Canis lupus familiaris: one gene and its partners. The protein of the gene in region 2 interacts with the protein of the main gene of each other region in a biochemical or structural test. Links are inferred from orthologs where the notes say so. Each region holds a gene or a part of one and is shown on either strand. Other genes may lie near its edges.

Region 1 (3,946 bases), on a different chromosome or scaffold from region 2:
AAAAATACACAAAAAGTATTTTCTACCATATTCTATCAAATATAAGACTGCTTCACCTTCTATTCATTTTCTTTTCACCTGCTATCTGCTGAACACCACAGATGCTACCTACAGATCAGGAATTACACGGTCATACTAACTGGGCAATAAGATGACATCCCTTTTTTAGGACTAGTTAAATGTACGGACAGACTATAGTTTGCTAACCAGATTTACCTTGTTTGTCAAACATCAACATGAACATAATCTCAAAGATTTCTGAAATAATTTTACCAAAAACTCACCAAATAAGTTCTTATATAATGTAGAGTCGATTTCTTTTAAACAACTTTTGAAGATGTTGGCAGCAGAGTTTCCTTTAACTAAGACAGTATCAATCAGTTCTCTCGCTTGCAAAGGTATCTGTGTTTTTTGTTTAATGATATCATGTTCCTGTTTATTAATTACATTGGCCTTTAAAAGATTATCCAGGATAGGAAGCACACAAGTCAACTGTTGAAAAAGAGCCATTCTATTCCTCCGAATTAATGACAAATCATCTTCATTTAAAAGAAAGAAGAAAAAAAAATCCATTAGATCTTAAAGTGCTCCAACGATACTCACATAGTCACTAACAACCAAACCTACCAACAATTTAGACGCTAAATAAATAGGTGCTTGAAAAAGCACAAAATTACTTGTTTGCACTTAAATTTAATGTCTATCATTTAGAAAACTTCTGGAAGATTCAGCTAAAGCATATCATATAGTACACACAACACACAGGGTCTCTGTTGTTGTCACTTCTAAAAGTGGAGATATTTACATGTCTTAGAACCCTGCTATTCCATAGAAAGAAAGCAGAGAATTTTAAAGACCAGTAAAATAAATAAATAAATAAATAAATAAATAAATAAATAAATAAATAAACAGATAAATAAATACCAGTAAAAACCTGCCACCTCTGTACTTTCTCCCCTATGAAATTAATAATACTGACTTCTATTTGCATCATACCACTTTAGTTTTATAAGGGCTTTCGTATAAACTCCCTTATTTGATACAAAAGATCCTGTCAATTAAACAAGCAGGTAAGACTACTTCTCATTCTCAAATATGGAGGAAAAGAAACTCAGAAGATGAGTGACCTCCCCAAAGTCAGAGAAAGAATCCGTTGCAGAACCAGTGCCCTGGATGAGTGTCCTTTTCACCCTGGGCTTCACCACTTCAAGAGGAGGGGAGGACAGTAGTGGTACTCATCCCGCCAGGACAGGCCTAGGATCCCATGCCAGCCAGGCTGCTTCCTGGCCCTGTGCCCTCAGCCCTGTCACTTCCTACATCAATCTACTTAACAAAAAAATGTTTTCAGGTCTTGCACTATGCTAAAATGTTTTGTTTGCAACTTATTTAATTCTCACAGTAACCTTGTGCAATTTGTACTATGATCTCCACTTCATAGAACCGCAACCTTCATAGAACCTGTTTTCTTCTGACAGAGCCAGGATTAAAACACGAATCTGTTTCAATATCAAAATCAGACTTTGCATTTTTCTACACGACCACACAATGAGGTTCTCTTAAACCATTTCTATCATTACTTACCAGGTTCAACACAAAATGTCTTCCAGCCTGAACTCCCAATCCACACTGTCTACGCACCCCTCACCTCTGCTGGTTCTTTTGTGTACTAGACTCCACACCTCATCCACAATCCCCACAGGTAAGCACCATAGTTACCACTACAGCACAGTATCTGACAGGTGTTCACGCTCCATTTGTATTTGCTGAAGGAATGATTTCTCAAGAGACTTATTTAGGAAGTCTAAAGCTTAGCACGACCTGCATGAACACCACAATCAGCTCCCTGATTGGCTCCCCACTGTCTCTGGGCTGGGCAGGGGCTTTTCAAGCCCTAGGACTTCACCACCAGTTCCATTTTTGTATAAGGACCACTTAGCAAGGATCAGGGAGTCAAACACCATGGTAAGGATAAGATTTCAAGGAAATTTTTTAAAACACTGAAAGAAGACCTCCATTCAACTTTAAAGTCTTCCTTTCTTCTCATATATAACAATTTAAATTTGTTACATAGGAGAAGAAAAGCAATATACTTCAAGAAGTTAGGCTAAAATCCGGACTGGCATAAATCACAGATCTTGTTGGAAAATAAACATATTCTAGAAAGCTACAGTCCAGTCTGAGCACTGCCCACAGTGCAGAAGGGGATGTGTGTCGGAGGCTCCTGGCACTGCTGCCAGGAGTTAGTGGACAGATGCTGGTGCTCCTGCAACGGGTCATCCAGTCCCGTGACCCTCACGGAAATAGGGCGGGTAATTAACATTCCCAAGTACCTGATGCCATTTCTTCAGTTTGTCTTTCCTTCTCTTCCTCCCGGGTCTCATCTTCAGCATTAAGAAGTGCTAACACAATCTCATTAACTGTTCTGTAGTTCTCCCCAGTGCTCAGGATCTTACTCTGCACGGTCTGCCTCACCAGGATCCTACTGAAGCCCATCTCCAAGGCGGCCTTCACCACCGGGGTGTTCATCATGACTGTGTCTTCTGAATGGTTTTCTCCAGGTCCAAAATGGACAACTATTTGAAAAGACATGTACCAATGTTAAATCCCACAAATGTAAAACTACAGAGAAAAATGATGACTATGGCACAATCTTTCCTCTCCTGCTGCTCATATCCTGGTATGGCACATAAGCTTTATGCACCAATTACCTATAATTCCAACAAAAGTATGAATGCAAGAGGATCAAATAAGAATGTAAAAATATGCTATCCTTTTTTAAAATTCCACTTCCCACACTACACCCTGGAACCTACTTAATGAGCGACTCAAAGCACAGGGCTTAGGAATCCATGTTTTTTTTTAAATTTCTGAAATGATTCCAACATATGGTCATTTTCAGGAACCAATATGCTACACAACTGTAGGAATGCTACAAGAAAGCAGGGAAACCAACAAAGACTTCATTAAAGGTGGCGTCAGAGTCTGGACTTGCCAGGATACATGAGATCTAGAGAGGTGGACAGATAAATCCGAGAGTAACATAGATGTAAGGAGAGTTAAGACTAGTTCATGCAAAATATGTCTAACGACATAAAAATATGACTGAAGAAGTCATTTGATTTCAGACCATGATATAAAGAAAATCAAGCTGTGAAAAGTGATTAAAATAACCCAGGAGGGAAGAAAACAACTGACATGGTGGAGCAGGGAAGCACTTCCTAGAAACAGAGTCAGCACTGACCAACTTGACACTTTGGTGGAAATGACAAGAAAACATCATTCTACATGATGCATGACAGCCACCTGCTGGCAAAGTGTTCTAATAATCATGTCTCTCCAAAGCCGCCTGCAGGTGGTCTCACACACACACATACACACACACACACACACACACACACACACACACACACACACACACACAGAAAGCCAGTCTGAAGTGGCAACATCAGAACAAGCATGTGAATGAATAAAGAGGAGTTATGGGAGTATCTCAAAGAAATCCTGACACATTCAAGAACTAGAGACACAATGGTGAAAGGCACCCAGAGATGAGGATGATCCCCAGATCTCATAGTAAAGCCTCGCCAGCTTATCTTTTACTCTACATGTACTAGAATGTTTTCTATACATCTTAAGTGAAGGATGTTAAGACCGGATTTGTTTTCTCAGATGATGATTCTGGCAGCTCTGTGATAAACTTTAATGAGCTAAGATGGAATGAGGAGACCCGCCAGGAAAGCACGACAGTGATGGCAGTTTGCACTAGGCTGATAGTGCCAGATGGACATGGAGAGAGGCACGCAGATTCAGGCATGTGAGGAAGGCAGGGATGAAAGGACAGCCAACAGATGGAACACACAAAGAGGAGCTCGGGTGACACCCAACTTGAGTCAACTTTCTGACCTCAGTAGGTGGGTACCACAAACTGAAATGGGCAGACCAGACA
Region 2 (3,946 bases):
GCTTCTCCCTGTGTCTGTGCCTCTCTCTCTCTCTCTGTCTGTCTCTCATGAATAAATAAATAAAATTAAAAAAAAAATCACTTTAGGGAGGTGACACGAATAACTTTTATTTTACATATATAAAATGTAGAATTATGTAGAGTATGGTACCACAGTTCTTTATAATTACAGCTACACTGTAATATAAAATTAGACAATGAAGGTAGGTCACTCTTTTAATTATTTCTTACCACTGTTCATTAATTCCAAAATTTCTTCGCATGTGAGATCATTTTTATTTCTGACTTCATATTTCAAGTTTGTGAATGTTTCCCTGAGGTTTGCTGCATCTACATCTGTACCAGACCGAGGTGCCATTCCTTGAAAACAGAAAGGATTACTTATAATTGCACTAAAAAAAAGAGAGTAACTGTTCTGAAATAAACTATTCAGCGAGTCACACAATCCACAATAAATTATTCTTTTCAACTGATAAGAAAATTTAATGATTCTGATCGTGGTAACACAAAGTCTCTTTAGTTTCTTAGATTATAAGCCATTTCATAATATAAAAAAAAATGACATTTCATAATATAAGCTATATCAGTGTTACAATCATAAGGATATCTTTCAAAAAAAAGGATATCTTTCATGGCTGCTTAGATAGTGAAAAACACAGTTGAAATGCTTAATGAGAGAAATCTGGTTAAATAAATTATGATTCATAATAGATTATGATGGAATACTGTATTACCATCAAAATTTCTGTAGACAAGGGGTGCTTGGGTAGCTCAGTCAGTTGAGCGTCCGACTCTTGGTTTTGGCTTGAGTCATGATCTTGGGGTCGTGTGATCGAGCCCCACATTGAGCTCTACACTTGGCTCAGAGTCTGCTTCGGATCCTCTCTCTCCCTCTCCTTCTGCCCCTCCCCCTGCTCACTCTCAAATAAATAAATAAATTTTAAAAATAAAAATTTCTGTAGACAAAATTCTGCCATGGGAAAAGGTCACTTATTAAACAAAACTTGTAATACAAGAGGATGCTTTTGCTTAAGAAAAATGATATATATAACACTACACACATCTCACACACTCATGGGAGCTGAATTTTTTTTTATTTTTAAGTTCCCAACAATTTAAAGATCCATTACTACTTTAACAATATTTTTTTTCTCAGGAAAAAAACCCACAAACCACTGCCACATCAATACTGTTTACCAGACATCCTGCTATGAGTAATTTCCGTCAACCCTTCCAAACACCAAGGAGACAGTGAGTGTGACCAGTTACCTTTGTACAGATATGGGACAAGGAGTACAGTGAAATTCAGGAACTTGCTGAAAGTAATAAAGCTAGCATTAGGCCTGTACTCTGGGGTCTTGCACTTAGTAGCCTCTATAGTAGCTTTCTCATTAAGTGTACAGATTGTACAATGCACTCAAATTTTAAAATGCTAAACAGTTAAGGAGTACACACCTTAGAACTGAGTCAATTATTTAAATGTATGAATAGAATAAAAGACTCAATGCCAATGCCTTCAAAATATTGTTGATAGAGCATCTCTGAGTAGTGTGACTATGAGTGGTTTTAAGTTTTTTTTCTTTTGCTAATCTGTCTTTTCTGAATCTTTTATTATGATGATATGTAATTTTAATACAATTTTAAAAAGCCTATCAAAGTTTTGACTCTGGAGAGGCTGAGGATACTAGGCAGCTATGTGACAAGGTGAGTGAATTCCAGTCCTGGATTGTGAGCCATTTAATAGTAGAACAGAAAATACAAGACTGCCAGGAGATCACTGTGAGGACCTGACCTTCACCTTTCAAAACAGAAGACGAGCTCACTCTAATGCTAAAGCCAGACTCCTGGCTTAGGTAATTTGTTGTTATGGTTGTTAAACAATAGGTTCAACAATGTAAAAGTCTATAGGAAGTGGGCATTGTAACTAGCAATGTGATGTAGAGTATCTGATGGTTGAAGGTAGCATCTCAACTTAGAGCCAAAAGCAATACAAATGCTCCCATTCAGATTTAGACATCCATTTTTCCAATTGCTGTTTCCTCATAACTAATCTAATACCAAGTTCTGCTTATATTTCCAGTACAATCTGGGTTCTTCTGGCCATTTTCACCACCAGCCAGGTAGATGGCCACCTAAATTGGACCTACTGCTTCTAACTTCTTTAATTAAAAGTTAAGTGTAAAGTGATTAATATGCCAATTCGAACAATTAACATAGCATCAATATAAAAATAAGAAATGGAGATACAGCCCAAATTTACCATATGGTAAATTATGCAAATTAAGCAAATAGAATATTACATAATCACTAAAAGATCTCAAAATTAGAGAGAGACACGAAAAATGGTTATATTACATTACATAGAACAAGCAGGATATAGTACTGCTTGCATATTAGGAATGACATTAAGCTTTGAAAGAAACTAGAAAGAAATCAAGTAATACATCAAGATATTAATTAACTTTTGGGGACTGTAAGGGATTTTATTGTTTATATTCGCTAAAAAAAAAAAAAAAAAGTCTGAATCGTATTCTAGATTTGAGTCACACCCAGTATAGACTGAGAAGGAGATCTGGTGAACATAAGAGAGCAGTTTCAGTACATGTGGAAAGAAGTGATGACGGCAAGCTTAAAGTACAAGTTTTCAAAATTTAGAGGAGACAAAAATCAGATCAAAGCTTGAGAGGGAGCAGGGTAAAAGAAAGATCTCTTTAAGATGGGGTTCTGTCATTTTTGTGGGGAGAAAGGAAGACGTCAATAGAGCAAATGAAGATACAACAAAGTGAAGTAGTGCAGGAGGTGACTTCAGAGCTCCGAGTGGGGACTGGGAGGTGGGGGTGGAGGGTGGTCAGGCACACCAAGGCCAAGTCCCAACTCTGCTACTAAATGATCTGTGTGACTCTCTGCCAGAACTTTAACCTTTTCAGAGTTGTTGTTAAAATTAAATGAGATAATACCTACGAGGTACCTTGCACAGTTCTTGAAAGAAAAATACTAGTCATTATTTGTTGTGATCCTTCTATTAGAATGAAAGAGGAAGCAGGAGGATAAACAAGCAAGGGTTACACAGAAGTTGGGACAGGAGAGCCAACATACAGATGGGAGGCTAGCTTTTGGAAGAGGGAGAAATTCTGATGATGGGCAGGTCAAGAGTTCGTGATGTAGGGTGTGTGGAGTCCTGCTCTATCTTTATATCATGGCTGTTCTGCATTACCGTTTTCTAACCAAAAACACCAGTTCTATTTTTTTATATTATACCAAATACAAAAGGTACAATACTTGAAGAGGACTAAAAATCATGTTAGGATACATACCAGTACTTTTATGAAAGTTCTTATTATTAATTATTATACATAAACCCATTTCTGGATAATCCATTTTATAACTGTTGTCGAAGGACATTCCCGAGTCCATTGATTTACTTCCATGTAAGATCTTTCTGTTTGGAAATCAAACAACAGGTTACAAAGGTAGAAATGACCAATGCTACTGTTCACATTAATACAACTTTTACAACACATAAGAACAGTTCATATCTGTTGAATGCATGTCAGGCTGTGTGCTACAGGCCTTTCCTGATTTAAATTTCATGATAAACCATTTCACAGATGGGGAAATGACCGCAGTGGGGCTCAGGAACATGCTGATGCTTATGCAGATGCTGTGTCAGAGCTAAGGCCTAGCATACCTGTGAGACTTCAGAGTTCACGCTTTTAATCTCCACATTTTAGGGTATTCCTCTAAATTTTTATAAAATTTCAAATATATTTCATAGTTTTAAATTTTTAAATTTCTTGTAACTTTGTGAGATATTTATCTTTCAAAATCTTAACAATTACCCTGAAATGATGGGAAAATGACAAAATGGAAATATGACCCAAAGCACAGTATTTATCACAATTCCTAAACTGTCCCTTAAACACTATGAGCTGAACAAATTAATAGTT
Region 3 (4,700 bases), on a different chromosome or scaffold from region 2:
TCCGTGTCCCTCGTCTGCCCCTCCTCTGCGGCGCTCAGGTCACATTCGCACAAAGGGAGGGAACACACTGGACCTTGTGGCTGTTGCATGGTTTCCTGGCTCTGGTGGGGTCCCTGCACCTGCCCCCTAACCTCTGGTGTGGGTGCTGTGTCCCAACTATCAGTGCAGCGTGGGGCAACCAAGAGGTGCAGCCCAAGGGCATGCAGCTTGAGGGACTTGAGAGCAAGGACCCCTGATCAAAGCAAGGCCTTACCCTAGAATGTAGGATTCACAAGGATATGGCAGGAAGGAAACCAGAACAAGGTCATAAGGCTACGCTTCCACTTGGCAACCGTAAGCAGAAGAATTTCTGTGTACCCAGCAAACACACACCAGGTCCTCGCCCAGCCACTATTTCCTTCGGCATAGAACAGGCCATCCCACTGCCCACCTATCCACCGAGAGCACGGAATGACCATTAACAGTGTGTGTGACCCCACAGCAAGCCCGCCCAACACAAAAGAACCCAGGGTCCAAGGGTCAAGAAGCTACAAGGCCTGGTTAGTCCCCTGGAGGCTGCCCCCGGGCACACCACCTAAAGTATCAGGTATCTGACACTTGGAGAACAATCCGCCCATACAAATGTAAAAGAAGGTATTAGAACCCCGAGGGAGAAGAATGGCTTCTTTCTTTCAGGCCTCCAGCTCTGCCTACAAAGACCAGATTTTACATTCTGAATTAAAACTCCACCCCCAAATACAGTTACAGAAAACCACTTTAACTCATTTATTTCACGATCTGGGAACACCAGGCCAGCCCTATGTATTCGATATACTGGCTCTACTATGGTTTTGTCTGTCCTTCCTGATCAGGGAAGGTCCTCTCTGGATGATTAGTGAAGCCTAAGGATACGTCTTTCTCCAAATAAAATTTAAAAACGAGTAATACAATACACAGGCTCACAGAAGAAAGCAGTTAGACTGAATTATCAAAATGTTTAAAAATATGGTAATGGTGAGCTCTAAAGCATAAAATAACAAGATTTAGTGCCCACTGTAGCAACTACAGCAACTTTGAATGATGATGAATGTAATGGATGTTTTGAGATATCCCCAACAAACGTACAGTGATATGAAAATATCTGTAATTTCCACTGGTGACAAAAACCATAGGTACTGCTTTTGCTTTTCTGCCTTCACATTCATAACTGGAGAAAGTAATGAAGTTTATTTAGAGATTAGAGATTAGTGACTAGGACGCCTGGGTGCTCAGTGGTTGGGCACCTGCCTTTGGCCCAGGGTGTTATCCTGGAGTCTCAGGATTGAGTCCCACTTCGGGCTCCCTGCATGGAGCCTGCTTCTCCCTCTGCCTGGGTCTCTGCCTCTCTCTCTCATGAATAAATAAAATCTTAAAAAAAAAAAAAAAAAAGAGAGAGAGAGATTAGGGACTACAGAGATATAAATTTCTCTTCTTCTAAACTCAGATTTTAGGTTAAGAGCCCCGGCACCGAGGGAGCTTCTCCTTTTTATTATTATTTTTAAAATGTTAATTTCATGATAGTCAACAATGTTAAGGGGAGAGCTTCAGATTAGGCGACCCATACATTCAGGTGTAAGATCTGGAGAGCCTCAGGGGCAGATCTAGCTCTGCAGATGGTAAGACCTGGTCGGCTTCTCCAACCTCAACTTCCTGCTACTCCTGCGCTTAAGAACCCCTATCCAGCTCTCACCCCAGGCCCTCAACGCCTGGTGGGTGCACAGGTATCCTGGGTGGTCTCCACTCACTACAGCCACATTTCCCAGTTATCTTCCATTTAACCGAGCTGGTGGCTGCATGGGCAGAAGGCTGTCTCCGAGGCCCTAGAACCTAACACGGTGCCTGACACGCCTGGTGTTCACTGAAGGGAAGTACTGCACGGCAGGTGCGAGTTAGACTGGCTCTGATACCAGAACAACATCCTCCATCTTTAACCCCACTTGGCATTTGGTACCCACTCTGCTCCACCTGGTTAGAACTGAAAACCCAGTAAAGTCTACAGGGTTGTTCTTTCTTTCTTTCTTTCTTTCTTTTTTTTTTTACAGGGTTGTTCTTAAAACATGCTGCTGCCTCACTGCAGGGAGGGAAAACCGAGTTACCCTGACTACCAGCACTGAACTTAACCAACAGGAGCTCCATGTTGGAGAAGAGCAGGACTGGACAGGTAGACAGGAGCAGACTGGCAGCTGGAGGACGCAGGAAGCCCCCCGCCTAGGTAGGAGCCCTCAGACACACGCCCAGTCCCACGGCCCGGCCTGGGAAGCCTCAGCAAATTCACCGGGGCACCCCCAGAGGGTCCAGAAGCCCCGAGGACACCCCTCCGGCCTTTTACTCAAATCAGACAGCTGTAAATGCATCAGGGTGGGAAGGCGCCGGAGAACCTGCAAAGTTGGGGGGGGGGGTGTTATTTCAAACCCCGAATCAGTGAATGCGCTGTACAGAAATCACACCGACTGGTACAGTTCTGCATAATTAAGAAAAAAAATCGAGAGTGAGCGGATGTTGTACAAAAATAGATTAAAATGATCCTCACGCGCCAGGCGCCATCATCAATGTAGGACAAACCTTCCAGCACGAGGGAGGGCAGAAGCGGCGGGCTTCAGAAGCCCAGGCTCGCCTCGTCCTCAGACTTCGGCCGGCGACAGGCAGGAGGAGCCCCCCACCCCGCAGCACCGCTCCGGGCCGCCCTCCCCGGCTCTCGCGGGCGGGCTCCGGGGCGGCCCCTCCCCCTCCCCGGCTCCCCTCCCCCGCGCCCCCAACCGCGCACAAAGCGGCCGCGCGCACCTGCACCATGATGGCCATGCGCAGCGAGTCCTTGGGGATGCTCTCGCTGCATTTCTTGCAAGACGCGCGCCCGCTCTTGGCGTACTCGACCCGGTAGAGCTTGTCCGAGGACTCCGCCATCGTCCGCCCCGCGCCGCCGCCTGCCCTGCGCCGCGCCCTGGACACGCGCCGCCGCCGCCCCCCACTCCCGCTCCCCGCAGACGACCGAGCGCCCAGAGCCGCCGCCGCCGCCGCCCCAGCACGCCGCGCTGCCCGCCGCTCCCGACCGACCGCAGACGCCCGGCCGCAGGCACGCCCCCCGCGCACGCGTCCTCGGGGCGGGGCCGCCGCGCACGCACGTCCTCGGGGGCACGCCCCCGGCGCACGCGTCCTCGGAGCACGCCCCCCCCGCCCCCCGCGCACGCGTCCTCGGAGCACGCCCCCCCCCCGCCCCCCGCGCACGCGTCCTCGGAGCACGCCCCCCCCGCCCCCCGCGCACGCGTCCTCGGAGCACGCCCCCCCGCCCCCCGCGCACGCGTCCTCGGAGCACGCCCCCCCGCCCCCCGCGCACGCGTCCTCGGAGCACGCCCCCCCGCCCCCCGCGCACGCGTCCTCGGAGCACGCCCCCCCGCCCCCCGCGCACGCGTCCTCGGAGCACGCCCCCCCCGCCCCCCGCGCACGCGTCCTCGGAGCACGCCCCCCCCCCCCCCCCCCCCCCCCCGCCTGCCCACTGCGCGGGCGGCGGTTCCCGGGCTCCTGCGGCTGCGCGAGCCGGGTGGGCAGCGGCTGCGTGCAGGGGCGGGGCGTGGGGTGCGCTCCGTCTGCTGGCCTCAAGTCGGGGGAGGGCCTTGTGGTCTCCCGGAGAATCCCCTCCGCCGCTCTCAGGAAGCGCGTCCCGCTTCCCCGCTGTGCCCTGGGACCGTGCGCCGACCCGGGGACCGCGCGGAGTGGGGCGGGGAGCCTCGCCGGTGTCTGCGCTCCACGCGACCGGTTCCCGTGGGAGCTAGAAGACCTGTTGCTCTACAGCTCCGTCGCCCTAGAACTGGCTTCTGTTTTAAACCTGTGGATTTTATTTTCGTCATTTAAAGCATCGCAGTGGCTCAGTCAGTCGTGTCCGGCTCTTGAATTGCCCTGGGGTTGTGATCTCGGGCTCGCGTCCTGGGATCCTGTCCACGGATCCGTGCTAAGCAGGGAGTGCGTGTGAGATTCTCTCTCTCTCCCTCTGCTCCTCCGCCCTCCCTCGCTCTAAGACATAAATCTTAAAAAACATAATCAAATGCATTTTAGTGGCCGGGGCCTGGCTGGGGGTCAGTAGAATGTCTGGCTCTTGAGTTCAAGCCCCACCTTGAGCATGGAGCCTACTTTTAAAAAACACGAAAGTAAAACATTACTGTGGAGTGTGCTGTATCTGAGGACTCGGTTCTGGTAGAGCAGACAAGAAAAACGAACAGGATCAATGAAGCTGCTGAAGCACGCCAGCATAGAGAAGAAAGCTAGTAACCGGAGAGGTGATGTTGAGAGGTGGAGCAAGTAGGTTGCGAGCCCTAGGCAAGAATCTGAAGTAAGGGATGTTAGCTATGTTGAAGGTGAATAGAATAAGTGGAGTGTGTGATAGAATAAATAAAATAACTTTTACTTAGAGAATAGCCAAATCCAAAGATAGGATCACTTGACCTCTGGGTTCACTTATTGGTACTAACATTATGGTCCTGCTCTGGCTCCCATATGCTTTGCCCAAGAACGGCAGATAACACCCATGTCTGTTCAGCAGGCTAGTTGGCAAGCTACAGCTGTGGCCCAGTGCATTTGCCACTGTGTCTCTCTGAGTAGCCTCTAGGTACTTGGACTGGCCTTGAGCATCCTCCGCTCTGGTGTTCACAACCCGACTGTCAGGCCAGCTGATGCGGTGGAGGGATACAGAC
Region 4 (4,658 bases), on a different chromosome or scaffold from region 2:
TGAGCTTGAATGTTATTCAATAAACAAATATTTATTAAATATGGGGTTAGGAATCGTTCTGGAGATAGAGCAGTCAACAAAACAAAACTTACATTCAAGTTAAATGTAGTCCAAAAATATTAAGAAATATTGGGGAAGGGGGGTAAAGGGATCAGGTCCATTACTAACTACAGTTTATCTTAATGTGTACATAGGTAACACATCACAACACTCAAACAAAACAAAACAAAAACTTTCTCTGGTTATTCGTACAGCTGAGCTTTGAATATGAGAGTTAAGGGCACCAACCCCTTAACAAAGATGAAAATCCAAGCATAATTTAGGACTCCCCTAAAACTTTACTAATAACCTACTGTTGACCAGACTCTTTATCCAAATGTAAACAATAAACACATACTTTGTATATCATATGTTATACACTGTATATTCTTCCAATGAAACTAGAGGAAAAAGGGCAGCCCAAGAGACGCAGCTAAAGCAGCTGTTTAGCATCGCCTGCAGCCCCAGGGCGTGATCCTGGAGTCCTGGGATCGAGTCCCATGTCGGGTCGGGTTCCCTGCATGGAGCCTGGTTCTCCCTCTGCCTGTGTCTCTGCCTCTCTCTCTCTCTCTGTGCCTCTATGAATAAATAAAATCTTGAAAAGAAAGGAAAGAAAGGAAAGAAAGGAAGAAAGAAACTAGAGAAAAAAAAAACAATGTTGAGAAAGTCCTTAAAAAAAAAAAAATTTCACAGGGGCACCTGGGTGGCTCAGGCAGTTAAGGGAGTCAGACTCTTGTCTTGATCTTAGGTCAGGTCTTCATCTCAGAGTTGTGAGTCAAAGCCCCACCCTGGGCTCCACAATGGCTGTAGAACTTACTTAAAAAAAAAAAAAAAAAAAAAAAGGGATCCCTGGGTGGCGCAGCAATTTGGTGCCTGCCTTTGGCCCAGGGCGAGATCCTGGAGACCCGAGATCGAATCCCACATCGGGCTCCCGGTGCATGGAGCCTGCTTCTCCCTCTGCCTGTGTCTCTGCCTCTCTCTCTCTCTCTATCATAAATAAATAAAAATTTAAAAAACAAAAAAAAAGGGTGTGTGTGTGTGCGCGCGCGCGCATGCCTGGATGGCTCAGTTGGTTAAAATCTTAAAAAAGAGGGCAGCCCGGGTGGCTCAGCAGTTTAGTGCGGCTTTTAGCCCAGGTTGTGATCCTGGGGACCTGGGATCAAGTCCCAAGTCAGGCTCCCTGCATGGAGCCTGCTTCTCCCTCTGCCTGTGTCTCTGCCTCTCTCTCTCCCTGTGTCTTTCATGAATAAATAAATAAAATCTTAAAAAAAAAAATCTTAAAAAAAAAAAAATACACTAACCTTATTGTATTTATTGGAAAAGATTTGCCTAAATGGACCCACACAGTTCAAACCCGTGTTACTCAAGAATCAACTGTACTTAGTTTTTTTTTTTTTTTTTTTAATTCATGTATTCATGAGACACACAAAGAGAGGCAGAGACATAGGCAGAGGGAGAAGCAGGCTCCCCACAGGGAGCCCAATGTGGGACTCCATCCCAAGATCACAACCGGAGGTGAAGGTGGACACTCAACCACTGAGCCACCCAGGTGCCCCAATGAGTTTCCTTTCAAGTTAACTCTTAATGGAGCACCATTATTTTTCTGAATTACAGGATCACTTTGAATTCTAAGATAAAACAATAGAAATCAGAAGACTAGCTTTTTACTAAATCTTAACCTAGTATTTTCTAGGTTTAGAAGTAAACATTTCTATTTAATAGGAAGCTTCTTAAACACTAGATTCGATGATCTCTTATACATCTCAGAGTATCTTTAAACGTCATAAAAGAGGGCAGCCCTGGTGGCGCAGCGGTTTGGTGCTGCCTGCAGCCCAGGGCATGATCCTGGAGACCCTGGATCGAGTCCCACGTCGGGCTCTCTGCATGGAGCCTGCTTCTCCCTCTGCCTGTGTCTCTGCCTCTCTCTCTCTCTCTCTCTCTCTCTCTGCATCTCTATGAATAAATAAATAAAATCTTTAAAAAAAAAACATTTAAAAAAATAAACATCATAAAAGATTATAAAAGAAAAATCATTAAAACCAAGGAAAAAAATCAGCAATAAAGAGGTTATAAAATTCAGAATTACTGATTTTTTTAAAACTAAGTTTGTCAAATAGTCTATTATTTACAAAAAGGAATCAAGACACAGGTAAATCTTTTTTAGTTTGTACTAAGTGAGGAATGATATGGAAACATGAAATTCTGCTATTAGAAAGGAAAAAAGTAGTTCCTTTTTGGACTGGGCTTTTGACTGCACATAAATTGAGCAGTGAAAAGCCCTGTCCACAAATGTCTAAAAATCCAACACTCTTTTTTTTAAAGATTTTATTTATTCATGAGATACACAGAGAGAGGGAGAGAGAGGCAGAGACACAAGCAGAGGCAGAAACAGGCTCCATGCAAGGAGGCCGTGGGGACTCGAACCCGAGACTCCAGGATCTCGTCCTGGGCAGAAGGCAGGCACTAAACTGCTGAGCCACCCAGGGATCCCCAATCCAACACTCTCTTATGCACATATTCTTTCTTCAAACAAAACCCAAGATATGCTTCTCATACTTTCAGAGTATCTGTATGTCAGTTGTACTACCATGTAAAACTTTCTAGATAGGTGATCTGAATACACATGCTGACCCAGTTGCTTCCAAATTACTTGCCAAGGTGCATCAGGGCACCACAAGAAACTTACTGGGTTGCTGCAAGATATTTTAAATTTGAGAAAAATTTAGTGATACTCAACCTCAGTTCAGACACCAGGTGGTTCAGTTTTAAAGCAGACTGCACCACATCCCTCTCCATTAATCTTCATTTCTCCAAAGTTAGAATTTTGGTGTTGCTGTGATTTAGAGGAAAAAAAGGGGGGGTGGGGGGGGAGAAAGGGACCCATAAAAAAAAACAAAACAGTAGAGAACAGAAGTTGAGATAGACATATCTAATCTGAATTCAAGTTATAAGAAGTTATACAGTGCCCAAAGGGCATTCATATTCTGTAACTGTGGTTATTAAAAACAAAACAAAACAAAAAACCTTTTTCTTTCAATTTTTGTGTATTTGCTTTTCAAAGACTACTAGGTTGTTCGGATAAATTACTTAAGTTGTTTTGACCTAACTACCTAACTAACAGAACTGCTAGGTTACTTCTTTTGGCCAGCAACACCATTAAAAAAAAAAAAAAAAAAAAAAAAAGGAAACAACAAAAAACCTACTAAGACATAAAAGGGCAAACCAAGAACATTTGTGAACCTGTGTTATTAGTTCCTTTATTTGGTAATTCCTACTCTAAACGTAAAAGTGAAAGCTGTTCTTAAAGATGGTATTTCTCCCAAGACTTAGCGCCTTTCTTCCAAGCAACTCCAACCTTCCTACACTCCCACTTTTGTGCATTCTTTTAAATATCTCCAAAGCAGATATAGTAATTTTTCTTCAGACAAATAAGACTCAAAAAAAAAAAAAAGAACAAATAAGACTCAAGGTCAACGTTCTCAGTGCCTCCAGTAGAGAAAAATTTCAGAGCCTCTGGACTCCATTATCGTATGTCAAGAAGTGGCACAGGTTTTAACAGAAACAGTTTACATAATAAGACAGAACTAGAGAGACATAGTTATTTCTTTGGAAATAAAAGGATCACTGGGAAATTATTCTTCCTTTCTGTAAAGTGGAAAAAATAACCTTTCTGTCAGAAATCCTGAGTTCCAATTCTATCTAGGACAACTCCTTATACTAATTAGCACTGTGTGAACTAGTATTTATGGAACTTAAATATATACTAAAATTTTTAAGAACACCTGTCTGTGACTTAGAGCCTTCCGTACACAAAGATAATTAAAATGCTGAGCTGGAAAGGACCCTGACAAATACTTTTTTAATAATAAAGTATGACAACATGTGAAGATCAACTACTGTACAGAAAATGCACTAAAGCACATTATGGCTTTGGAATACAATAGGGGGAAGAACATACTACTGCTCAAGGTAATGTGTAAAGTAATTGGCATCTTCCTGAAAAACCAGAAGTTCAAAGGTGTCCTAGGGAAACAGAGAAGTCAGCCTCAATTTAAAATCACTGTCAATCTACACAGTACATAATAAAGTTTACTACAATACATATTGTACTTCTGTAACAGAATACACTAGGATCAACAATTTCCCATTTAGGAACTCAGAAAAAATATCTTAAGAATTTATGGGATGCCTGGGTGGCTCAGCGATTGGGCGGCTGCCTTCGGGCTCAGGTCATAATCCTGGGATCCAGGATTGAGTCCCGCATAGGGTTCCTGCGAAGAGCGTGCTTCTCCCTCTGCCTAGGTCTCCGCCTCTCTCATGAATAAATAAATCTTAAAAAAACAAAAACAAACTTTAAAAGCTAGACTGGTTCTAAACAGTCCGTAATACAAGAGTATTTTTCCTTGAAAAATGACATCCCTATCACTCAGAGGACTCCAAGAAGACTTCAAGAAGACTGTAAAACAGAAAATACAATTAAACATGTGTATCTTAAGTAACAGTATATACTTGCCTGCACTGAACTGATTTGTCACTTCCAGTTTCAACTGCTTTCTAGTTAAAGTCTAACTAAGCATAGAAAAAAAAGAAGAAAATCCAGTTGCCAGGTTACAATGGTT
Region 5 (4,605 bases), on a different chromosome or scaffold from region 2:
TCTGGTTCCTGCAGGTGGAGCCTCTTCATGGTTTTCTTTATCCAGGGCAGGAAACTTGAGATTTTGGTGTAGGCCCGGGGAGGTGTCCCATTTTTTAGTCCATAGGAGACAATGCCTTGAGCCACATTGTTACACACGAGAGGGCCCCCAGAATCTCCCTGTGGACAGAGATAGAGGAGGAGTGAGCCTGCCCTCCTAGGCCCCTCTGAGAAGCCTGTGTTGCACGGCCTCCACGAGAGCTAAGAGGACAGGGCCGGCCTGGACTTTGTCACTGCTACACTTCACCCCAAGTGGCAGCTCCCTCTCCTCCCCCGGTCCCGATCCTCTGATGAGGGACTGCTGGCTTCACTCTACTCTTTAGGGGCTGACAGCATGCAGGCCGAGCCCGTAACCCAGGTGGGTGCCAGCTCTGAGGAACCCCCTGGTTTTCATCACTGCCACACCCAGCATCAGTGGCCGGGTTGGGGCAGGGTGCTGCAAATGCATCCTTCTGGAAGAGCATGGTTTGAATTCATTCTAGGTCTTGGCAGGCTTGCAGAGGTGCTTAGGTGCCTTCATCTCTGGCAGCTCCCCCTCTACTCCTCAGGAGAAGGATCACTGGTTATATCTCCAGATCCCAGGTCCTCCCCAAACACCCCTGTCCCCAGAGCCATGCTAAGCAGACACTGAGTCTCACCTGAAAGGAAGACTTGGTTTCCTTTGGATTCCCCACGCACAGCTGAGTGGTGCTGTCATAATACTTGGGTAAGAGGAATTCGCACTCTGAATCCTTCTGCACTTCCAGTGACACCTCCTGCAGAGTGTCTGGGTACCTGCGTATCTTGGCCTCAATCTGCCCCCAGCCGGCCACACTGCACACCTGTCCTGGCCTCACCCGGGCCTTGCCCCTGGGCAGGGGGAGAGTCTTCACAGCCGCAGTCAACTTGGCCTTCCTCTCAAGCTGACGGGAAGAGGTAAGAGAGTCCAGCTCAGCCAGTGGCCTCTGGGCCTGACACTCCGATGAGGCGGCAGTGTCTTCTCTCTCCCGTGAGCCTCTGGGACTGGACAGGTGGCCAGCATGGGAAGGATGGCAGGGACAGGTCCCAGTGGGAGGGAAACAGTCTGGACCCAGGAGGGCAAGAGCTGCAGGGAGGTCTCCTTACCAGCAGTAACATGATGTCATTGGAGTAGTTCTTTGGACTATAGTCTGGGTGGGGGATGGCTCTTCTCACGGGGATGACCTGCTGGGTCTTCTCCTGTTCCTTGATGTTGTGGGCGCCCAGGGTGACTTTGATGGAGCTGCACAGAGAGCAGAGTGGGGTGTGGGGGTGTGGAGTCACAGGGTACAGCCTGGGAGTCGAGAGGGCAGGTGGCAGCCAGGGCAGGGCAGCTGAGAGGGAAATCAAGGTGATAGAGGGAAATCAAGGCAGTACTTAAGCTGAGGGGAAACTGAGGCAACAGGAGGGGCCGTGATTGAGCTCTCTGTGCCTTCTGCTTCTCAGCAGCTGAGGTAGGATTCTGGAGCCGATAGTGAGTGTGCCGGTGGGTCTTAGGGGACAGTTTCCCACAGAAACGTGATTGCATGAGTTGGCATACAATGGCAAAGCATGCCCCAGCGGAGCTCAGCGTGGGGGATGGGGGGTGCGAGCTGGTAGGAAGGCAGGGCTCCCTGCAGGGGTTTTCAGGGCAGTGCAGCCTGTTTAGTACTTCTCACCTCCCCCAACAGTGAGCGGCTGTCAGCACGAACATCGCTTGTATCAGGAACCCACCACACTTGATCTGCCTGCTCGGGTTTTCAATCTGAAGTAACGCCATATAGGGCCGTGAGTGGGGCTTGGCCTCATGTCCCCCGATGATCTCTCCTGAAGGAAAAATTCTGTTCTGCTCTTGTCTACCCACTGAATCCAGCAGGCAGGCATGCCTGATTTGGGGCAGCAGGTAAGGTGGAGGGCCTCGACTTCCTCCCCTGGGAGTTTTGAGGGCAGCAGTCTCAGGCTGTGCATCTGTGTTCTACACATAATCAGAGGGGACCACACCTGTGTTAGGAATAGCAACGTCCTAGAGGCTCCAGAAAAATCCCTCTCCTGACTTTGCCTTGTTTCAAGTGAGTTTCTAAGGCCCCTGTCATCCTGTGAAGTCTTTTCCAGTGGCTGGGATCTAAGTTTAGTTAAGTAGATGTGTGACATTGCCGATTTCCTAAGGGCCTGACGGGTCATAGGTGCCTAGTAAGTGCTGGTTGGCTGCACGAAGGCAAGGCTCCCCGGCGTGCTGGTAGGATTCTGGAAAGCAGAGAAATTGAGGTCTGCCAAGGTCTGCTTGAAAGAGGGGAGCCACTAAGAGCCTGGGAAGAAAAGCAGAGTTGGAGAGAGGGATGAGGAGCCTTGAGGCAGAGGCAAGGCAAGAGCAGTCTTCTGGGGACAGTGATCCATCCAACTGTTGGGTCAGCTGAGCCCCGGGCTTCACTCCTAAGTAGATGCTGAGGGAAGCCCCTTGCTCTGCCCTCTGCAGGGGGATTTATGGTGTTCTCTTTCCAGTTTCTCACCCTCTGCTATTCCAGGAAAGTTCTAATTTCAGATGGCAAAGGTAGAGGCTGGGGAGGGGACAGTAGCGACTAGCTCTTCCAGAGACAGCCTTTTGCCCCGCTGTCCCTACTGCTAGCTTATCAGCATCACACTTGAGAGGGGGAGGCAGGATGAAGGCTGGGGTTGAGAATGTTCCTGGTGGTAGGTGGATAGGGGTGTTCAGAAGGGACAGGAAAGCTGTGCCACTGTGAGATGGGGTTGGGCCTCTTAGGGTGGGGGTGTACACTCACCTGCCTTGGCCCCAGAAGGCAGGCAAAAGGCCAGCAGGAGCAGGAGCAGGAGTGGCTGCATCTTCCCCGGGAGGCTGCTCAGGTCGGAGCTGCTGGCGCTTCTGCACTCCTTTATAGCTCCTGGGAGAGGAAGGGGGTGCAAATGGGCTCCCTGACCTTGAACTCCTCTCTGGTTTTATGGTGCTTCATCCTTAGAAGGCTTTCTATGAAAGCCTCCCTGCCCCCTGCCCCTCTGTCTGATGACGTTCTCTGGGTGGTTGTGTGAGAATCATGCTGTGACCACATCAGAACCCACACCAGTTGACTCAGAGCAGACCACCTGTTCCAGCTCAGAATAGGACAGTAAGCATATCAGGTGGGGACTGGAGGATGTGGTATCAGCCTGTAAGGGTACTAGAGCCCAGAAACCTGGGTCCCCAGTGATAGGACCACCACTGCCTCATTTCCATGCTGCTAGGTCCATCAGGATAATTTCCTTAGCGCTGTGTATTTGGGCCCATGTCTGCATGATCCAGCATACTGGAGATGTGTTTCCTTCCCTCAGAGAGTTGTCTGTCTGGTGGAGGAGTCAGAAACAGTAGCGCCCATGGTCCAGCATGGTAAGCGCCAAGAAAGTAAGAGCATGACCTTTATCTACTAAATCCTTATGGCCACCATTCATCACCCCAGCTTCTTTCCTATGGATTTTTATCTACTGTTTTTAAATGACAAACACTCAGAGTAATAGAGTCCACCTCTCTTGTCAATGTTTTTAACCAAAGTCCTGTACTTGACACTAATTGGCTTCAGTTAATGAACCACCATGACCCTAGAGATTGAATCAACTGACTGAAGGCCACGTCATTCCTCCTTTGTGAAGACTGGGGGCAGTCACAGCCAAGCCCCCCAAGACAAGTCAACTAAGATTGGGGAAAGGTTGGTTCCCCAAAAGAAGTTCAGATGACTAGATCACCAATAACATGAAGTGGAAAAGTATGCTGGGCAACCAAAACCAAGAGTTGTCCTTTGAGTATTGTCAGTTGTCTGTCCAGAGAGCCACACTTCTGAGATAGCAGGTTTGCCACATACTAGTCTCACATTTGTTAAGCCAACTCTGCTGCTGATCTCACTACCATTGGATGTGAGGGGCCGTGGTTTCTAAACAGCCAGGCCCCATTCAGTTCAAAGAACGGCTAAGTATTACAATCCCTTAATCCTATAACTTAAGTATTTTCTTCATGCTCTTAAGAACCTACTAGTCTCTCCTTCCTAGTTAGTGAAAAATTTAGCATGCAATTACTTCCTACAATTGTTGGAAAATTTGAAAACTAATATAAGCAAAGAGAAAATGAAAATGATCTAATTTCTTTCTTTTTAAAGATTTATTCTATTTTTATTAGAGAGAAAGAGAAAGCAGAGGGGAGGATCAAAGGGAAAGGGAAAGAGAGTCTTAAGCAGACTCTGTGCTGAGTGGATGTGGCACTTGACCTCACAACACTCATGTCATGACCTGAACAAAACAGAGGATCCCTTGCTTAATTGATGGCACCACCCAAGGGCCCCTAAAATTATCTGATTTCTGACTCTCTGACTCTTGATCTCAACTCAGGTGCTGATCTCAGGGTTGAGAGTTCAACCCCATATCCCTCTTCCCCGGCTCTGCCCCTCCTTTCCTTACTCTCCTTCTGTCTCTCAAATAAATAAATAAATCTTACAAACGATACGATACCGGTTACAAGTGCTCAAGAAAAGAGAAATATTCTGAAATAAATCTCTCAAAGCATGTATGGGACTTATCTTCTGCATGAGATGAACATAACTGAATGATTTTGGTA
Region 6 (4,510 bases), on a different chromosome or scaffold from region 2:
AGGAGGTAAACTCTTACAGGGTGGGAGGAAGACCATGCCTCAAACTCCTTTCTTGTCCCACTCAACACACAGCAGTGCTCTGTGCATAGCGTAAGGTCAGACTCCTGCTGGGTGAAACCATTCCCAATGCCAGCCAAATGCCTCTCAGCCCATCAACTTAAACTTGTTGAAAGTGCTTCTGCTTTCTGAATCCCTCTAGTATGGGGGGGTGGGGTAGATGTCAACTTTGATCACCAAGGGTAACCAACTCCCTCCTCCTGGCATCAGGTGCCCAAGACTGTTACTCCTCCATGACAGGGACTGTGCCTCATTTATTCCTGGGCCCTCGGGGCATAGCACTGGGTCCAACCCATAGCTGGTACCCAAAGAACATCTGCTGAAGGGAGAGATTATCTCTAGGACCCAAGCTGCTTGGTGGTTTTCCTTTCTACTAGAAGTCCCAACTCCTGATCATCTGGAAGGCGGAAGGAAACCCCAGGACTATGCCTGCCCAAAGACAAAAAAACTGATCACGTATTCTCCACAATGAATTTGGCAACTTCCTGCCACACTGAACAACTTAGTGCTGTAGATCACAAAATTAAGCTTACCATAACCCTCTTCTAACTAACTCCTCCTGCAACTTCACTATTCTCATCAAGAGTACCACCATTCTCAGGGTACCTGGGGGGCTCAGGCTTCTGACCATGATTTCGGCTCAGGTCATGATCTCAACATCATGAGATCGAGCCCCCGTATCAGGCTCTGCACCCAGTGGGAAGTCTGCTAGATATTCTCTCCCTCGGCCCCTCTCCACCACCTGCTCTGTGCATGTGCTCTTTCTCTCTTTCTAAATAAATAAATCTTTAAAAAACAAAAATCCCCCCCACCATTCTCCAATCATTCTGGGCTGCAGCCTTTCTATCAACTCTGGTCATATCTGCCCTTCATTGCCTATTAAAAACTAGGTACCCAGGTGCCACTTATTGCTCCTTGATCTCTTAGAATTCACCCCTTCCCATCCTTTCCCTTCAAATCTTGGCCCCCATCCATGCACAAGACGTCAACCAAGGCCCCATCTTCTGGCATCTGGCCTCCCTAGCTCCGATTCTCCTCCTTGATCCCAGACCCTACAGGATACCATCAGGCTTATTCAGTACTGTTTTCAACCAGTCCATCCTCTGCTCACACAATAACTTTGCACTTTTAAAACTACCAAGCCTGTACGCCTCTGTTCTAACGGACCTGGACCCATATTCATGCTCATAACCCAAAACTGTGACTAACACTCCTCCTCAGGGAGTATAGTCATTATCTTTCTCCTTCCAGGAACATATATAACATTCTCTGCGATCTCAGAATCTTTTTTTTTTTTTTGGTATATTTTTTATTGGAGTTTGATTTGCCAACATACAGTATAACACCCAGTGCTCATCCTGTCCAGTGCCCCCCTCAGTGCCCGTCACCCAGTAACCCCACCCCCGCCCTCCTCCCTTCCACTACCCCTTGTTCATTTCCCAGAGTTAGGAGTCTCCCATGTTTTGTCACCTTCTCTGATTTTTCCCACTCATTTTCCTTCCTTTCCCCTATAATCCCTTTCACTATTTTTAATATTCCCCCAATGAGTGAAACCATATAGTGTTTGTCCTTCTCCGATTGACTTACTTCACTCAGCATAATACCCTCCAGTTCCATCCACGTTGAAGCAAATGGTGGGTATTTGTCGTTTCTAATAGCTGAGGAATATTCCATTGTATACATAAACCACATCTTCTTTATCCAGTCATCTTTTGATGGACACCGAGGCTCTTTCCACAGTTTGGCGATTGTGGACATTGCTGCTATGAACATTGGGGTGCAGGTGTCTCAGTTTTTCACTGCATCTGTATTTTTGGGGTAAATCCCGAGTAGTGCAATTGTGATCTCAGAATCTTAACAAAGGTCTCACCTCTGCTTATGCAAATTCCACTGTGCTCCACGGCCAGAAGCCAGCACCATTTCTCACATAGGCTTTCCCCCAGGCCCAGCCCCACCGTCCTCTCTTCTCTCCCACCGCCCATCAAACTGTTTCTAGCTGCTTTCCTGCTGACTCGAAAGTATCCTTTTTCTATGCTTCAGCTCTTGAGGAAGACCAGAGAGTCTTATTAGGCAACCACAAGATCCTGCCCCAGACACTGGCACCTCAGACGCGTTATTATGAGTAAACGACAGTCCACGTGAAGGGGGCTTGTTCATCCCCCATTCATAGTAAGGCCGTTCAGATGGAGGATTCTGGGATCCCACTAATACCAGCCAAGGGCAGTCATTTCCCATCATTCACAACCAACCCCCCAGAGCTCAAGTCTCGGTATCGACCAGTGAGATAAAGAAGGGAGCGCACAGCTTTCACGGAGTCCTCTTCTTCACGCCCTCCGCTCAGCCGCTCCGGAACTTCTCTGCTCCAAAATTGTGGATAATTACGCAAATGTGGGAGAGAGAGGACGGGATGAGGAGGCCGTGGTTTCCACAAATCTGATAGCGAGGGCAGGACACGCACTCCAGGGCGCAGTCGGGATCAGCGGGGTGCAGGCAGAACGGGGGGGGGGGGGGGATGCAAGCGGGATCCGCAGGGCCACAGCCTGCACCACGTGCGCAAAGAACACTCGAGGCCATCAGCCCGGGGCTGCCTTTCTACCCCGCGTCCCCGCCACGGGGCGCGCAGTCAGACCACGTCCCGCAGACCCGGGACCGCGGCCCACGCGGCTCGCGCCGCCGCCCGGCCCCGCCCCTCCGCCCGGCCTTACCCGTCGAGATTTCCTGCGCGAAGGCCAGCGAGATGAGCAGCAGCGGCAGCCCCACGGCGATGTACGTGACCATCTTGTCCACCGCCAGCTCCAGCCGCAGCCCCTTGAACTTGGGCTCCGAGGGCTCCTTCAGCAAGAAGTCCGAGAACACGTACTCGGTGGCCAGGTGGGCGATGGCCATGGCCGCGGCGGCGCGCTCAGGCCCCGGGCCCAGGGGGCGGGGCGGGCAGGCCGGGACCCCCGCCTCGGGACCGCGGCGCCGCGCCTTCGCCGTCCCCTGCCGCCCCCGCGGATTTCGCTTTCCCTTTGCCGGCTCCCGGGCCGCTCACACATGCGCCAGCCTTTGTGCGCCGGGGCGCGCGGCTGCCTATGAGGCCCAGCGCCGCCGCCGCGCCCCCGCCCGCGCTCCGCCCCGCCCCCGCCCGCGCCCCCGCCCGCGCCCCGCCCGCGCCCCGCCCCCGCCCGCGCCCCGCCTCGCCCCCGCCCGCGCTCAGCCAGCCCCGAGCCGGCCCCGGGTGCGCTCCCGCCTCGCCCGCCCCCCGCGCCCCGCCCCGCCCCGCCCCGCCCCGCCCGCGCCCCGCTCGCCCCGCCCAGCTCTTCCGGAACCCGAGGTCTTCCGAGCTCCTCCGACAGCCGGGCGCGCGGAGCCGCGGGGGACAGGTGGCCCGCCCAGCACGGCGATCCCCGGCGGAGCAGCGGCGCCACGGAAACGCCCCGCCCCTTCGGCCTCAGCGCCCCCTCCCGCCCGCCTTGCTGGGCCGCGGTTTCCCCGCAGCTCTGCACGGTGGACTCCGCTTAAGAGGAGCTGCAGACGCTGCCAAGGGCCACGGCTGCCCCGGAGCCCAGCGGCCGGCGTGGAGGACGGGACTCTGCACCCTCCGCGCCTCGGCGACCGCGCCCGGGGGGCCGAGCCTCCAGCCTCCGCCGTCCGCGCGTGCTGCCTGTGGGCGCTGCCGACCGCCGCTGCCGACCCGCCTCCAGGAGGTGGAGCCTGAGAAGCGCGAGGAGATGCTGCGGCGGGCAGAACCCGCAGGCGGGAGGGCCCTCGGGCTGCGCTGCCGCCCCCGCCCTTCCCACCCGGGCCGCCCCCCCCGCCCCCCGGCTGCGCTCAGGTCCCTCGCGCACGTCTCCACCTGTCCTAGCCTCCGATCGCTCAGCCAGCAGTTTACACCGCCCTCCGCCCGGGTGGCTCCCAGGACTTCGGACTCCGAGGACCCAGGAACGCAGGCCTTATCTTCCTCTCCGGCTGAACTCCGGTCCTCCCCAGCTGGCGGAAAGCGCCGCCATCCACCCAAGCCAGAGCCTCCAGCGTCGTCTTTAAGCTTCCAGTTCTCCCAGCTGCCATAGTTTGGAAAGTGAATTTCCAAATTCACTTGGTCCTCGCCAAGTGAAAAGGTGATGGTTTTTCTCCACATGCACCGCCAGCACTGGGATTTAGGCCACCGTCCTTTCCCTTTCTCTTTCTCTCTGTATATTCTTTTATTGGACTTCGACTTGCCAACATATAGTAGAACACCCAGTGCTCATCCTTTCTCTTAACCGCATACAGCGGTGGATCGCATAGGCATAGGCGTATAAGCCACTTTTCTCCCACAGCGGCCAGAGGGAGCTTTGAAAAGCTCCAATCGGATGGTGTCACTGCCCTACATAAAGTGTGTGTTGCTTTTAGGATAAAATCCAAATTTCTTAGCGTGGCCACTGCCTGCCTCACCAAGCTTCACGATCTCCCCCATGGGTTCCTCAGGTTG
Region 7 (3,946 bases), on a different chromosome or scaffold from region 2:
TGTGGAAAACAGAGATGGATGAGGAAGTATGAGAATCAGAGGATAGAGAGAAGCATGGATGGGAATAGGCAGAAAAGGACTGAGAGAGAAAGGACAGGAGAGAGATGTGAATAGGGGAAGATAAAAAAGAGAGAAGTGAGAGAAAAGGAAGGAATACAAAGAAGAAATGAGAAAAAATAAGGAGAGCCATCCAGCCATCTCTTATATGTCCCATCCCTTATGTGTCCGAGAGAGACCTCTCTGTCCTTGTGAGGCATGGGGGCCTGTGAGACTCATAACCAAACCACCCACTTGTCATCACCCAGCCCGTCTGAGTTTACCCTTTCCTCAGTGACCCTTTCTCTTTGGTCTCCTCCATCCTGCTCCTAATCTTGCTATTTTCTTCTCTGTCCTCCTGGTGTCTACCCCAACCCCTACATACATACGTACACTTACCCTTCTGGGTCCTCTATGTCAGCTTCCAGAAAGGAAGGAAGGCAGACTTTATGCTACTCTGAGACCTTCTTCCTCTTCAACCCAACTTACCTCTTTGGGACTCGTGTTTCTCTGTTTCTCCCTTGTAGTCATATCCCAGAGCTGCCTTGTCCCGTTTATCCTTCTCTATACCATAGCGGCCTCCAAAGCCATGAGAGTAATCTATGGTGGAAGGAGGAGTCATGAGAGCCTGCTCTAAGCCCACAGGAATGTGCTGTGGAAGAGAGAAGTCAGGAGGAACGGGTGCAGAGGGATAAGGGCCTGGGAAAAGAGCAGGGCTAGGATCTAGGTAGATTAACAAGAAACAAGTATCCTAAGTCATCTTTTGTAAGCGGTAATTCAACACTGTTCACTCCTTTCCTCTCCTCCTTTACCTCCATCCTAAAATAAGAAGATCGTTTCAATTTTCTCCCTTCTTCAGGGAAGGGGAAAGTATAGAGAATGTAAAGAGAGACTTTTAGGAGAAAAAAGGCAGATACATATGAAAACAGGCATATGAAATTTATGCCTGTTCCTATTCCCATATAAACACTTAGAAATGTCTCCTCAAATATAACAATTTTTTTTTTTTGTAGTGAAGCTCAAGAAAAAAGAAAAAAATATCCTGGCTCCAGAAGCAAATAGATGAATCAAAGCCATAAATATGAAGGCAATTATGAGCTAACTCAGAAAGCCCAAGGGTGTTTTAAATCCCAAATTTAGTCCCTAGGGATTAGGATAAGAACAGCAGGCTGGGGAACAAGAAATGGAAGTCTGCCCACTTCTATAAAAGAGTTCTAGAAAAATTCTATTCATTTGTTCAGGGAAATGGTGAAGGGGGTTGTAGTTTGTTCAGCATTTGGTAGGGGGAAATTTTACCTATGGAACTTGGAAACTCCAGGCCTACCCTGAGTATGTAGAATGCAAATATCCCAGTTTTATACTATTTATATTACACAGGAATTCTAAGCTGGGAAATTAATGCTGACCTAGAAAAATATATACTAAAGAAAGAATATGCATCAGAAAGATGGCAAGAATATCAGACAAAGTAGACCTCAATACAAAATGCATTATAAGAGATAAGAGAAATATAACACAAAAATAAGAGAACAAATCATCATTAATGAGGAATATGTATGCTGGTATAATCTATTAACAGAATCAAAACTCATGAAGCAAAAACTGACAGAAACAAAGAAAAATAGAAAAATATGTGATCTTAGACGAAAATTTTAACACTCTTCTTACGTTATTTGAAAGAATGTTTAGACAAAAATAATCTAAAATTATAGAAGGCCCAAACAACATTAACAACTAACAAAACCTAATTAACATTTACAGAACATTATATCCCCAAACTGCAGAATATAGTTTTTTCATGCACATAGAATATTCACCAAGGTAGACCATATGGTTGGAGTACCTGGATGGCTTAGGAAAGTAAGCATCTGACTCTTGATTTCAGCTCAGGTTATGATCTCAGGATCATGAGATCAAGCCCTGCATCGAGTTCTGTACTGGGCATGGAACCTGCTTAAGATTCTCCCCCTCACCACTGCACTTAAAAAATAAAATAAAAATAAAAAAGAGAGAGACAATCAAATGAGAATGAAAATCTTCAATATTCATCAATATGAGTTCCAGAAGAAGGGATAAAAGAGAAAAGAGAAGAAACACTATCCCAAGACAACAGGCCTGAGAACTTTCTATAATGAAAGTTATTTCTCAGGTTGAAGAGAATCGGTTAGTCTCATGTAGGATAAGAGAAATAGATCCAACACCTAGATATATCTGAGGGTATCAGAGAGAGAAAAAAAAAAACTTTTCATGAAAAAAAAAAAAAAACAAACAGAACAGAGAGACAAGACATGTTACCTACAAAGGAACAAGAGTTAGACTCCACAAGAGAGATGCCAAAAAGTATGAAATAATATACTCAAAGTGATGATGGGGAAAATAGCAATGAAGAATGAAACAAAATGTATATTTTAGACAAAGCCTGGGAGTTTTTTCATAGGCTCTCACTGGAAGAATTATCAAAGGATATACTTTAGTAAGAAGGAAATAGAAGAAAAGAGGAAACAGATACAATAAACAGTGATGCACCAGATACTTGGTAAATATGTTGGTCAATTTAAATAAATATTCACTAAATAATAATAATGATTCATTTTTGTGGGGTTTAAAAACACAAAATCCTTATACTGAGCAACAACAATTGGCCAGTTGGCACTAAGAATGTAGGATGTAGAAGGAATGTAATTAACTTATTCTATATTTCCTTTATTACTAGGAAGAGATAGTGATTAATTTTAAACTTAAGTCAAAGATGAATGTTAAAATCTAGGGACTACTTCCTAAAATAAAGTAGTAGAATACCTTATTTTCGATCCATTAGAGGGAAGGGGGACTAAAGAAAACTTGATCAATCTCCTAGAAGAAGGTAAATAAGAAAGAAGCAAGTACATGCTTGGATTTAAAAAAATAAAATAGTGGGGAACTGTGCCTGCAACTAAAGGGAGTTGATGACAGCTGTTGGGAGGTGAAGTCTGAGTAGAACAGGTCAATCAGGTTGCTAAGGCTGGAGCGCAGGGTCCTTGCCTTTCTGAGATGCGTGCTTCTCCACTTCTCCTTTGTAATCAAAGCCAACTGCAGACTACAGAGAAAAGGAGAGTGGATTAGTTAGAATTGGAACTGACAGTTTTTCCCCTCCCTCACACACTCATACTCCTAGCTCAGGCCAGAAGCTAGTTTACAAGAGCTCAAGGCTGAGAATGGGGGTTTAACCTAGAAACAGACAAGAACCCTGACCCGGCAGGCTGGTGTAGTGGCTGTATGCTACAGAGCAATGAACTTGCGCTCCGTAGGTTCATCAACTCTAGATTCAAAACCCAACCCCACCTTCCCTCTTTATAGTTGTTTAACTTAAGCATATCCTTTATATCACTGAGCCTCAGTCACCTCAAATATGAAATAAAAATAGGCAAACCTGACTTATTTGCCTCAACTATAAAATGGGAGAAATGATATTGTGGGTACTAAGTGGGGCAAGGTATATAAAAAGTATTTGTATTGTGTCATTCAGTAAATTAGTGCTTTTCTTCCTAATTCTCATGAAACTAAAATAATAGCTAGAAAAGTGCCTTGTAAACTATAAAGCACTATGCACATGTAAGAAATATTATCCCATTCCTAATGGATTATATATACCACACCTCTTCTCTTTCCCTAAGTGGCAGGGGAAACCCAGAGATGTATTTTGGTGGGATGAGAGGCAACTGGGAGAACTTGGGCCCTAACTGCTTCAGGACTGGATATGTTAGCTAATACCTAACATCATCACATAGCTGCATCCCCATCTAGCTCAGGACCTTGGGTCTCTAAGCAAGACTAGATTTTCCATCTCAAGGGCTATTAGTATGTATGGTTTCTTAATTTACACGACACACTGATTGTTTAGGTGATTCCCTGTGTGGTGCATGAGGCAGAT

Evidence for each region.
Region 1: the proteins of CASP3 (region 2) and BIRC2 form a complex in vitro, tested with the Homo sapiens proteins (3 studies listed by BioGRID, with this or other methods). The link is inferred for Canis lupus familiaris from reciprocal best matches to the Homo sapiens genes CASP3 and BIRC2.
Region 3: of the proteins of CASP3 (region 2) and PARP1, one has a biochemical effect on the other in vitro, tested with the Homo sapiens proteins (9 studies listed by BioGRID and IntAct). The link is inferred for Canis lupus familiaris from reciprocal best matches to the Homo sapiens genes CASP3 and PARP1.
Region 4: of the proteins of CASP3 (region 2) and PTGES3, one has a biochemical effect on the other in vitro, tested with the Homo sapiens proteins (2 studies listed by BioGRID and IntAct). The link is inferred for Canis lupus familiaris from reciprocal best matches to the Homo sapiens genes CASP3 and PTGES3.
Region 5: of the proteins of CASP3 (region 2) and GZMB, one has a biochemical effect on the other in vitro, tested with the Homo sapiens proteins (2 studies listed by BioGRID). The link is inferred for Canis lupus familiaris from reciprocal best matches to the Homo sapiens genes CASP3 and GZMB.
Region 6: of the proteins of CASP3 (region 2) and PANX1, one has a biochemical effect on the other in vitro, tested with the Homo sapiens proteins (2 studies listed by IntAct). The link is inferred for Canis lupus familiaris from reciprocal best matches to the Homo sapiens genes CASP3 and PANX1.
Region 7: of the proteins of CASP3 (region 2) and HCLS1, one has a biochemical effect on the other in vitro, tested with the Homo sapiens proteins (2 studies listed by BioGRID). The link is inferred for Canis lupus familiaris from reciprocal best matches to the Homo sapiens genes CASP3 and HCLS1.

Annotation. Positions count from the first base shown.
Region 1 is NC_049226.1:29,436,754-29,440,699, forward strand, and holds part of BIRC2 (baculoviral IAP repeat-containing protein 2), read right to left. Parts: intron 2,574-3,946; coding exon 2,331-2,573; intron 540-2,330; coding exon 285-539; intron 1-284. UniProt on the Homo sapiens protein: Multi-functional protein which regulates not only caspases and apoptosis, but also modulates inflammatory signaling and immunity, mitogenic kinase signaling, and cell proliferation, as well as cell invasion and metastasis.
Region 2 is NC_049237.1:46,862,061-46,866,006, reverse strand, and holds part of CASP3 (caspase-3), read right to left. Parts: intron 3,439-3,946; coding exon 3,314-3,438; intron 360-3,313; coding exon 231-359; intron 1-230. UniProt on the Homo sapiens protein: Thiol protease that acts as a major effector caspase involved in the execution phase of apoptosis. Following cleavage and activation by initiator caspases (CASP8, CASP9 and/or CASP10), mediates execution of apoptosis by catalyzing cleavage of many proteins.
Region 3 is NC_049228.1:38,451,613-38,456,312, reverse strand, and holds the start of PARP1 (poly [ADP-ribose] polymerase 1), read right to left. Parts: upstream 3,009-4,700; 5' UTR 2,920-3,008; coding exon 2,800-2,919; intron 1-2,799. UniProt on the Homo sapiens protein: Poly-ADP-ribosyltransferase that mediates poly-ADP-ribosylation of proteins and plays a key role in DNA repair.
Region 4 is NC_049231.1:1,253,893-1,258,550, forward strand, and holds the start of PTGES3 (prostaglandin E synthase 3), read right to left. Parts: upstream 2,851-4,658; 5' UTR 2,836-2,850; coding exon 2,777-2,835; intron 1-2,776. UniProt on the Homo sapiens protein: Cytosolic prostaglandin synthase that catalyzes the oxidoreduction of prostaglandin endoperoxide H2 (PGH2) to prostaglandin E2 (PGE2).
Region 5 is NC_049229.1:4,634,446-4,639,050, forward strand, and holds the start of GZMB (granzyme B), read right to left. Parts: upstream 3,037-4,605; 5' UTR 2,853-3,036; coding exon 2,792-2,852; intron 1,842-2,791; coding exon 1,694-1,841; intron 1,279-1,693; coding exon 1,143-1,278; intron 941-1,142; coding exon 677-940; intron 159-676; coding exon 1-158. UniProt on the Homo sapiens protein: Abundant protease in the cytosolic granules of cytotoxic T-cells and NK-cells which activates caspase-independent pyroptosis when delivered into the target cell through the immunological synapse. It cleaves after Asp.
Region 6 is NC_049242.1:6,792,574-6,797,083, forward strand, and holds the start of PANX1 (pannexin-1), read right to left. Parts: upstream 3,010-4,510; 5' UTR 2,944-3,009; coding exon 2,763-2,943; intron 1-2,762. UniProt on the Homo sapiens protein: Ion channel involved in a variety of physiological functions such as blood pressure regulation, apoptotic cell clearance and oogenesis.
Region 7 is NC_049254.1:25,545,161-25,549,106, forward strand, and holds part of HCLS1 (hematopoietic lineage cell-specific protein), read right to left. Parts: intron 3,113-3,946; coding exon 3,058-3,112; intron 637-3,057; coding exon 526-636; intron 1-525. UniProt on the Homo sapiens protein: Substrate of the antigen receptor-coupled tyrosine kinase. Plays a role in antigen receptor signaling for both clonal expansion and deletion in lymphoid cells. May also be involved in the regulation of gene expression.